Linked DNA regions of Cricetulus griseus. The protein of the gene in region 1 binds, or shares a complex with, the protein of each later gene. Links are inferred from orthologs where the notes say so. Each region holds a gene or a part of one and is shown in the gene's direction. Other genes may lie near its edges.

What was found. Proteins that work in one complex are often made in the same cells at the same time.
Region 2: the proteins of Capza2 (region 1) and S100a1 are in contact, whole or in part, in an NMR structure (PDB 2KBM), measured with the Rattus norvegicus proteins. The link is inferred for Cricetulus griseus from reciprocal best matches to the Homo sapiens genes CAPZA2 and S100A1. Residues at the interface, in NP_001009180.1 of Rattus norvegicus: Thr267, Lys268, Ile269, Asp270, Trp271, Asn272, Lys273, Ile274, Leu275, Ser276; in NP_001007637.1 of Rattus norvegicus: Ser44, Phe45, Leu46, Asp47, Lys50, Asp51, Ala54, Lys57, Ile58, Glu61, Leu78, Ala81, Leu82, Thr83, Ala85, Cys86.

Annotation. Positions count from the first base shown.
Region 1 is NW_023276806.1:208,911,721-208,915,961, reverse strand, and holds the start of Capza2 (F-actin-capping protein subunit alpha-2), read left to right. Parts: upstream 1-1,429; 5' UTR 1,430-1,550; coding exon 1,551-1,589; intron 1,590-4,241. UniProt on the Homo sapiens protein: F-actin-capping proteins bind in a Ca(2+)-independent manner to the fast growing ends of actin filaments (barbed end) thereby blocking the exchange of subunits at these ends.
Region 2 is NW_023276806.1:64,036,466-64,040,732, forward strand, and holds the start of S100a1 (protein S100-A1), read left to right. Parts: upstream 1-1,440; 5' UTR 1,441-2,017; intron 2,018-4,076; 5' UTR 4,077-4,089; coding exon 4,090-4,230; intron 4,231-4,267. Other genes in the region: S100a13 (protein S100-A13), read right to left, coding at 98-250. UniProt on the Homo sapiens protein: Small calcium binding protein that plays important roles in several biological processes such as Ca(2+) homeostasis, chondrocyte biology and cardiomyocyte regulation.

The DNA of each region.
Region 1 (4,241 bases):
TAAGTGCATACAACTGCAGGGAGTGATAAGTGAAACCAGGACTTTGAAACCCTAAAAGAGGAAATTGATATTGATTTGTAGCTCCTGAGGTCGTTGGCCAGACAGACACTGTACTTCACTTTCATCTTGTCTCCACAGGTTTATCTTCAACAGGACACTTGCTGTTTCCCTGAACACGTCAGCTTACTTCCTCTTCCTGTTCTCTGTGAATGAACACTTTAGCAAGCCACTTAATGATAGTGTTCTTGGACGCAAAGATGGATTTGAACTCCTTAGGGTTACCTGGCATTTACACACAGCTGTCAGATTGATGCTGCTGAATACATTTCTGTTCATGGCTTGACACCGTTTGGATGCTTTCAATGGCTTCTCACTTTCTAATTATAAAATCTTAATTCCCAGCTGAACTCCAAGTACTTGCTGTACAAAGTGTAGTTGTCAGACAAGTAGCAGTCCTCTCACTTGGGAGCATGTAAGAAACAGATTCTCTGGTCCCACTCAGGCCTACTGAACTAGCAACTCAATTTTAGCAAGATTGTCATCTTCTTTCTGTTCCAGCTTTGACTACAGCTTTACTTTTCTGTAAACTTGAAGGTTTAGTAGTGGAGTTGCCAGATTTGGCAAATAAAAATAAGAGACTTCCAATAAAAGTTGAAAAGAATGAATAATGTTTTTGATAAGTCTCAAATCCTTCATGGGATATTTACCTTAAAAATTGGTTGTATGCAATTGAAAATTTTGCTGGGTGGCCTGTATGCATTCTGGCCAGCCAGTTCATGAGGACAGAGATCCAAAATAACAACATTTTATTTCCTTCCAAGAGCGCAATGCCTTCCCCTAACTCAATGTTTAATTAATAGAGGTGAGCTTAAGAGCAGCATCTCTGGGTTTTTTGTTTGTTGTTTTTTCTGCATTGTTTATTCCTAAGAATTACCACAGAAGTCTTCCTATCATAAAAGACCAATAAATATTTGTTGAACGAATCAATGAGAACATTAAGAGCAATCTCCCCAATTATGGACTGGATTGTGTATTTCTATTTTAGTGAACAGGGTTTTTTTTTTTTCCTCCCCCCCCCCCCACGCCTAACATTTAAAAATGGTTCATCCATCGGTACAGCTTTTCACAATTTCGCTGGCAGCGTTCAGGATTTGGTGGGAACAAAGTCACGGGCTCAGCATGTACTCGTCGCCAACGGGGTCCATATGGTCACCACTGGGTAGAGAGAGGCACCCAGAGCGGAGCAGGATAGGAGGCTCCATAGCAATCCGGCTTCTGCAGGCGCCGCGCACGCGCACAGCCCGGCTCCGGCCCCGGCCCCCGCCCGCCCGCAGGAGAGGGAGGCGGAGCCCGGGGCGCGTGCGCGGCGGCCGAGGCCCGGGGAGGAGGAGGCGGGGGAGGGGGCGGAGCTTCGCGGCGCGTGCGCGGCGGCCTGGGCGGCGGGCCCCTCCCTTGGCGGGGGCGCGCGGCGCTGAAGACCGCACGGAAAGGGGGAAGTCAGGTGGCCGCCGCCGCCGCCACCAGCGCCACAGTTTGTCGCCAGAAGGAAGATGGCGGATCTGGAGGAGCAGCTGTCGGATGAGGAGAAGGTAGGCGCCGCGGCGGCGGCGGCGAGGGGCAGGGCGGCCGGAAGCGGGAGCCGCGGCGCGAGGGCCGGAGCGTGTCCCCGGGCGGGCTCCGGCTCCGGGGGGTGGGCCGCACGCCTCCGCTGCCCGCCGAGCCCGCTGCCGCGCCGGGGGAGCCAGGCCCGGCCGCCCGCTCCGCTCCTTGTAGGGTGTGTGCTCCGAAAATAGGAAGCCGAGCGGGCGGGCGGGGCGGGGCGGCGGGACCCGGGCCTGGGGGTCCCGGCTCCGGGGACGGTGGAGGGTCGTGCGGCGCCGCCGGGCCTGGGACTGTCACGGCGAGGCCGGCGGGCGAGCGGGCGGGCGGGCGGGGGAAACGGCTTAGCCGACCCTCACTTTCCCCTGCAGTTTCTCCTCCCCGCCGCCAAGTGCTTCCTGGTTCTTCAGGGTGTTTCCTTCCTTCCTTCGGGAGGTCGCAGTCTGCACACCCCGCCCCTTTGCCCTCCCTTCCTCACCTCCCCCCCTTGCGGTCTTTTTCTTTATTATTAATTTTCTCATCGTTACCTTTTTTCTTTTCTTTTCAATTGCTGCTCCCATGTTCCCCCCGGAAGGTAGTATTGTTCACAAAGACACCTCTCTGCCCCCCAGCCCCCATAGTTGTTCTCTGCTCAAGTTAGCTGCCGCTCCCCCTGGGGCAGATTTGGTGACATCCTGTCTTCCTGATAGGACCAGCTCTGTGTGGAGGGAGAGCGGGTGCGACTCCTTTTACTGTGTGTTAAATGCGGTGGCAGCAGTGGGACCAGATGCAGGACTCAAGTTCTCACGTTAGTGATAGGAAATCTGATCATTGTACTAAGACTTTTTTTTTTTTCTTTTGCCCGTTTTCTTTGGCGACTGTGGAGACTTCATACCTAGGGGCGAGGAGGGAGAGAACTCTTGCTAAATAAATTTGAGCGTTTCCTGGAAAAGACCATGACGTTTTTCAAACTCGACGGACATATGTGTGTGGTGCACTTTGGAAATGTCCTCTGTTAAGTGTCTGGTTTTTAAAGTTCCAGACCAGCACACCCATGTGGGAAACATACTCAGTTCTTAAGAATGTTTTTAAACAGTGTCCTTGCACCAAAATTAGGGTTCCGTTTCCTTCCATCTATGATCATTCAGAAGTCAGCCTCATCTTTGTCTTTGGAAATGTTTTGTCTTCTGTGCATTCTGGTGGAAGTGATGATAAATTAACAGTATTGGACCTGCAGCATCCTTTGCCTTAATCCACAGAACTAGACCTTAAGTCCCTAAAAGTTGCTGTGCAGTATTTACATATGTAACATTGAGTAGTTTTAAGTAGGTGATTGAAAATATAACAGTGCACTGCATGCAAAATTAAATGTTACATCTTTTAAAAGGGATTTTTTCCCTGTCGTTTACTTTTGTATGGTTATTAGTAGCTCAGTTGGCTAGAAAGATAGTCAAAGACAGACTAGTTAGTGTGGGAGTTAATGTAGACCTGCCATGTTGTTGGAGAGGCCTGAAATATTCAAAATGAAATGATAAGATTTCCTTATTCTTGACACTTAGAGCACTACTTCCCAGAATATTGTGTAGGATCATCTACTGGTGTCATGTTGGGAACAAATTAATTCTAATTTTAAATTCAGCATTTTTGTGACTTGGGTAAAAGTATTCTGTAGTAGTTTTACATACATATTTTATAACAGTATTTTCTAATTTAGGAAAAGAATGGCCAGAATTTTAGGTTAAATTTAAATAACCAGTAATTTGAAAATTTAACATTCTTGTTATTTTAATTACCCAGTAGACTTTTACTATTTTAGGAGGAGGAGGTTTCATGTGGGATCAGAAATAGAAGATTTAAAAATGATATTTTAAGACCAATACTTAAATCATGCTTCTTTGTTGTTGTTTCCTGGCTTGTGATTTTCAGGAATAAGTTTTCAATATTTTTTACACTTTAGGAGTTTGTGTTCTAAGTTGCAGGTTCTAAAAAAGGGGAGGCACTATGAGATATATATATATATATATATATATATATATATATATATAATATTGTACTTGACAAATTCATTGTGCTTTCTTTTTTTAAGTTTGACGTAGGTAGTTTCATTATTACCATTTACCTGTAAGTAGAATGAAATTTTAAAAGCCTTCTGTAGCTTATGTAGGAGGGAAGTGGCAGAGGTGAAATTTAAACCTAAGTTTGTCTGAATCTGAGGTTTACTTGCATTTTTAATGGTATATGGACCCTTGAAGTTGGTTGTAGGACTGACTATCCTGGGTTTATATCTTGGTTTTGAATTTGTTGACACTTTTTTTTAAAGGTAGTGTCAGGTTCTAAATTTGTGTTTATACTTAGTGGAGAGGCTAACTGGTAAACTTGGATTTTCATCATTTTTAATTGAAGTTTATTTTTATTTAACATGTGAGCATTTTATGCTACTGCTGTGTAGTTTCTTACTGGCCCCATGAAAGGAGGCATTTTCAAAATTAATCAAAGCTGGGTGTGGTAGAGCAGATTTGTAATCTAAACACAGAGGAGGCTCAGACTGGAGGATCTGTAGTTCTGAGACCAGCCTACAAAGAGATTAGCTGTGGTGCATACCTGTAATTCCAGTGTCACCTAGTCTTCTGAGTTCCAGGGCAGTCAAGGCTACACAGTGAGAC
Region 2 (4,267 bases), about 140 Mb from region 1:
ACACTCAGTCACTCACATTTTTTTTCTGCCACATTATCTATTCGGTGTCATCACCTGGTATACATAGACAGTCTCTGTCCCAGAGACCTCTACCAACCTTTAGCAAATGAGGCAACTGCTCGGTGACCAGTTCCTTAAACTCATTGATGCTCAGGCTACCTTTTCGTCCTTCCCGCCCTGCAAATGTGAAGAAAGTGGTGACCACAGTCTCAATGGCTGCCTCCAGTTCCGTCAGCGGCTCCGCTGCCATTAGTACCACAAAGTAGGAGCTGATGTCCTCACAGACTGACCTCATGGAGCAGAAAGAGACCAAGAGAGTTAGGGATCCCAATATAGGTAAGGTGGCTGCCTAAAAAGGGTCCGTGTGGGAAAGATGAAAGGGTCCAGAATGGACAACTACTTCAGTTGAGGTTCACTTTCAGAAATTATTTTTCTCTTGACTCTTATGTCTGTGTGTCCTTCTTAAGTGTCTGTCTTAGGGAATGCCTCTGCATTGGTCTCTCCATGTGGCAACCACTCTACCTTCGAGGGTAAGTGTCTGTCTTAGGGAATGCCTCTGCATTGGTCTCTCCATGTGGCAACCACTCTACCTTCGAGGGTTTTTCTTTAGAGTCTTCTGAGTGTGGTAACATCCAGGGTGGGGTCTCTGTTCTAATGGCTCTTTCTTGCTGTCACTCCCTGTCTTAGGGTCAGGAAGTCGTTTGTCTCCAATGCTTATTTATGTTGAGACCAGAGTCTCTCCTCGTAGAGAAGCCTAAGGTTGGCGAAGAACCAACTGAACTCAGGTCTGGCTCAATCGGGCCAGACCCATCTTCTCTGCCCCAATCTCTACCTCTTCTAAGGGGGTCTCAGGGTGCTCAGCACCAGACCCCACCGACCTTCCCCACTCCTGTCCATGGTTGACAAGGTCCAGAAAGGGACTCTTCAAACTCCTCAAGCCCACAGCCCACAAGGCGTTTGGCATGGACACCCAGTGCCATCAGGGCTCCAGGAAGGGAAGAAACATGCCTACTCATCCCCCTCATTTCTGTCCACCCACCCACATACTCCCGCAAGGATCTTTGCCTGCTTTCCTAAAGCCACTTCCTGAATCTCTGCCTGAATCCGCTTGGAAGGAGGAACCTGGGAGCTGATAAAGAAAAGAAGGTCTCCAGGCTCTCTGCAGAGTCAGGGAGAGAGTAACTCACCCAGGAAAGGAGTTGGGATGAGATGCGCAAGCAAGCCGAGCTAGAGCCTCAAGGCTGAAGTTTTTAAGCACCAGGGACGGGAGAGAGCCACTCCCAAGTCCGAAGTGTCAAGTTTCCGCCTCCGCTGATTCGGAAAAGAGGGGACCGCCCCTGCTGTCACTAGCCATCCCAACGCTGCGCCACACGTCCAAGACAGAGCCTGCTCAGGAGGGACCTTAGGGTGCCATTCCTCCCAATTATGGGGGCTAATCAGGAGTCGGGGGGGGCTGCTACTACTATTTGGAAAAAAATAAAATAAAAACACTTGGGAAATTCAGCGCTGGAAAGCCCCGTCTGAGAAACCAGAGACCCTGCAAAAGATCCTTCAGTCCAAGGGCACTCGGAAAGCCCCAGGCTGAGGCTCCTATAATAGAACCCCAATTAAAATTCTTCGCTGAGTTCCGAGACAGAAACCCCTCTCGGAGGCAGGCGCACAAGCTAAGCACCCCTCGTCAGAATTCTCCCCTTCCCCTGCTCAGCCCGCACCACGGCATCCTTCCCAGGACTTCTCTTCCACCTCCTTCCTGCTGGGCTCGGGGAGTGGGTGCAACCAAGAACGGAAAGAAACATAGGGCAGCCCGTTCTCGCCTGGGAGACAGAGGGCGCCTCTGTCCACTTCTGGCCCCTTGCCCTTCGCGGTGTCATTTGTGAAGGGGTGGAGCCGGTGGGGAGGAGGGTCGGCCGGGAAGGACAGCTAAAGACAGGTCTCCCCACACCGCTCCAGGTGCCACATTTGCAGCTTGCCTGTCTGTCTGTCGAGAACCTTCTCCCACTTCAGGCCCAGGCCAACCGTGAGTATCCTACCCTGACTAGCATAGATCCCTGGCTTAGCCAGCCTGGAGGAAAGGGGTTCTCAAAAAGACCCCAAGAGCCCTGGAAAAGGATACAGTGTGCCGCGAGGGTCTGGCGAGGGACTGGAAGGAATCAGTCAAGGGAAGTTTGGGATCTAGGGGAGATAAAGTTTGCAAAGTAGTGAGAGGAGGTGAAGTGAAGGTCGGAGAGCTAGGAACTTGGAGAATAAGGATGCCACCCAGCTTCCAAGTCACCAGACCTTCCTACACAGAACCCTGTGTCTCCTGACAGGTACCCCAGTCTCTAGGTGTCCAGAGGGAGGAGAGGCAGCCCTGCTCCTTTAGCGTAAGAACTAGAAGGCTGCTCCTGCCCCCCTCTCCAGCCTTGTCCCTGCTACCCCTAACCAGCCTTGCCAAGAACCAGATCCCAGGTTAGTCTAGGAGCAGGGGGTCTGTGGCACTGTGCCCTGTCCCATCTCTGCCTTCTCAAGAACTCCTCCTTATCCCTTTTTCCAGTCCTGACCCCTGCTTCTCTCTCCCCAATTTTTTTCCTCTTTGTTTTTCCACTTTTGCACCCCTAGGGCCTCCCCTTCATAAAATTCCAAGCTGCTGGAGGGCTCCAGGCAAACCTCCAGGTGCCCCTCATAGATGAGGATGGTAACTGAGCCATCCAAATTCCTCCCTTGAGTACCCTCTTATCCCTTTCATCAGCAGGGCTTGGGTTCTATCTCCCCCTGTCTCTGTGACAACTGCTTCTTGTGACTGGAGTTCAGGTGACAGTCACAAGGGCTCCATTGAAGCGCTGGGATGTCATCTAATCAGGACCTATTGTCCAGTATACCCAGTGGTGAGGAAGGATGAGGACACCTGAGCTGAGACACCTGAGCTGCTGCCCCTGAGACTATGGAAAGCATGACCCTCCTGGAGCCACAGGACGGAGGCCCCCTTGCATGCAGTCCCTTCTCAATAGACCACCCCATTCTTCTGCACTTGCCCAGCCCCTTGAGCTCAAATGACCCAATGCACTCAGTCCTTTATTTAACCCAAACCAGCCCTATTCTGCTCCCACTGTAGCTACACAAACAGAGCTGGCCTGAGGCAGGAATGGACAGCATCAGGGACAATGCCTTCAGGTTAGCTCCCTCGTTAGAAGCTGTCTCCAAGGAAAAACCTCAGACATTTCCCTCTCCCTTCCTTCTTCCTACCTGATGAACACGGGTAGTTTTGCAGAAGAGATGAGTAGAATAGGAGGTAATGGGAAGTATACCCCAGAGAAGCCAAAATGACATACTGAGGAGAGAGGGGAGCTAGGCATGGTAGCTCAGACCAGTAATCCCAGCACATGGAGACAGGATTACCCACAAGTTGAGGGCCAGCCTGAGCTAGTTCCAGGACAGCATAGGCTATAGAATGTGACCCTGCTATAAATAAATAAATCCCCAAGCACAAAAAGATGGAGATAGAGCCAATTGGCCTGGGCTTGATCCTCAATGCCTAAAGAGGAAGACCCATGCTGCTGACAGGAAGAGCCAAAACAGTGAGACGTCCCTCCCCAACAACTCTTGGGTCTCCCACTCAGACTGCCTACCCCCATCAGCTCACCAAAGATACCAGACTTCTTCTTGGAGTAGGCAGTAGAGACATCAGCTCACTTACTACTAAGAGCAAAGTTTGACTGTGACAGGCCTGGAAGGTAAAAATAGAGCTAGAAGGCTGCCTGGTCCTGTGTCCACCCATGCCTGCCCCACCCCACCCTGTCTCTGCCCAGGCAGCCAGGAGCCAGCCACTGAATGTCTGTTGCAGGCTTAAGACAGCCCAGTTCCTATTGCTCAGTCTCCCTGCCCATCCCTCTGAAGAGACCCAGAATGATGGATTGGATTTAGGTGTGCTAGGGTTTCTCCCACATTTCGAAATCTCAATGAAAGATAAAGTACAAGTTGGGGGGGCATCTTGTAGCTGTTTGAGCTGTGAAATCAGGGTCAAATCTGAGGATTCCCTTACCCAGGACCCAGATATCCTAAACCTGGTTTACAGCTTACTTCCATCGTTGTGGGGGTAGGTGTGCTGCTGAAATGGGCTCTGAGCTGGAGACTGCCATGGAGACCCTCATCAACGTGTTCCATGCCCATTCTGGCAAGGAGGGGGACAAATATAAGCTGAGCAAGAAGGAGCTGAAAGACCTGCTACAAACCGAACTCTCCGGCTTCCTGGATGTGAGCAGAGGGTTGAGGTACAGGGTGGAGGAAGGGG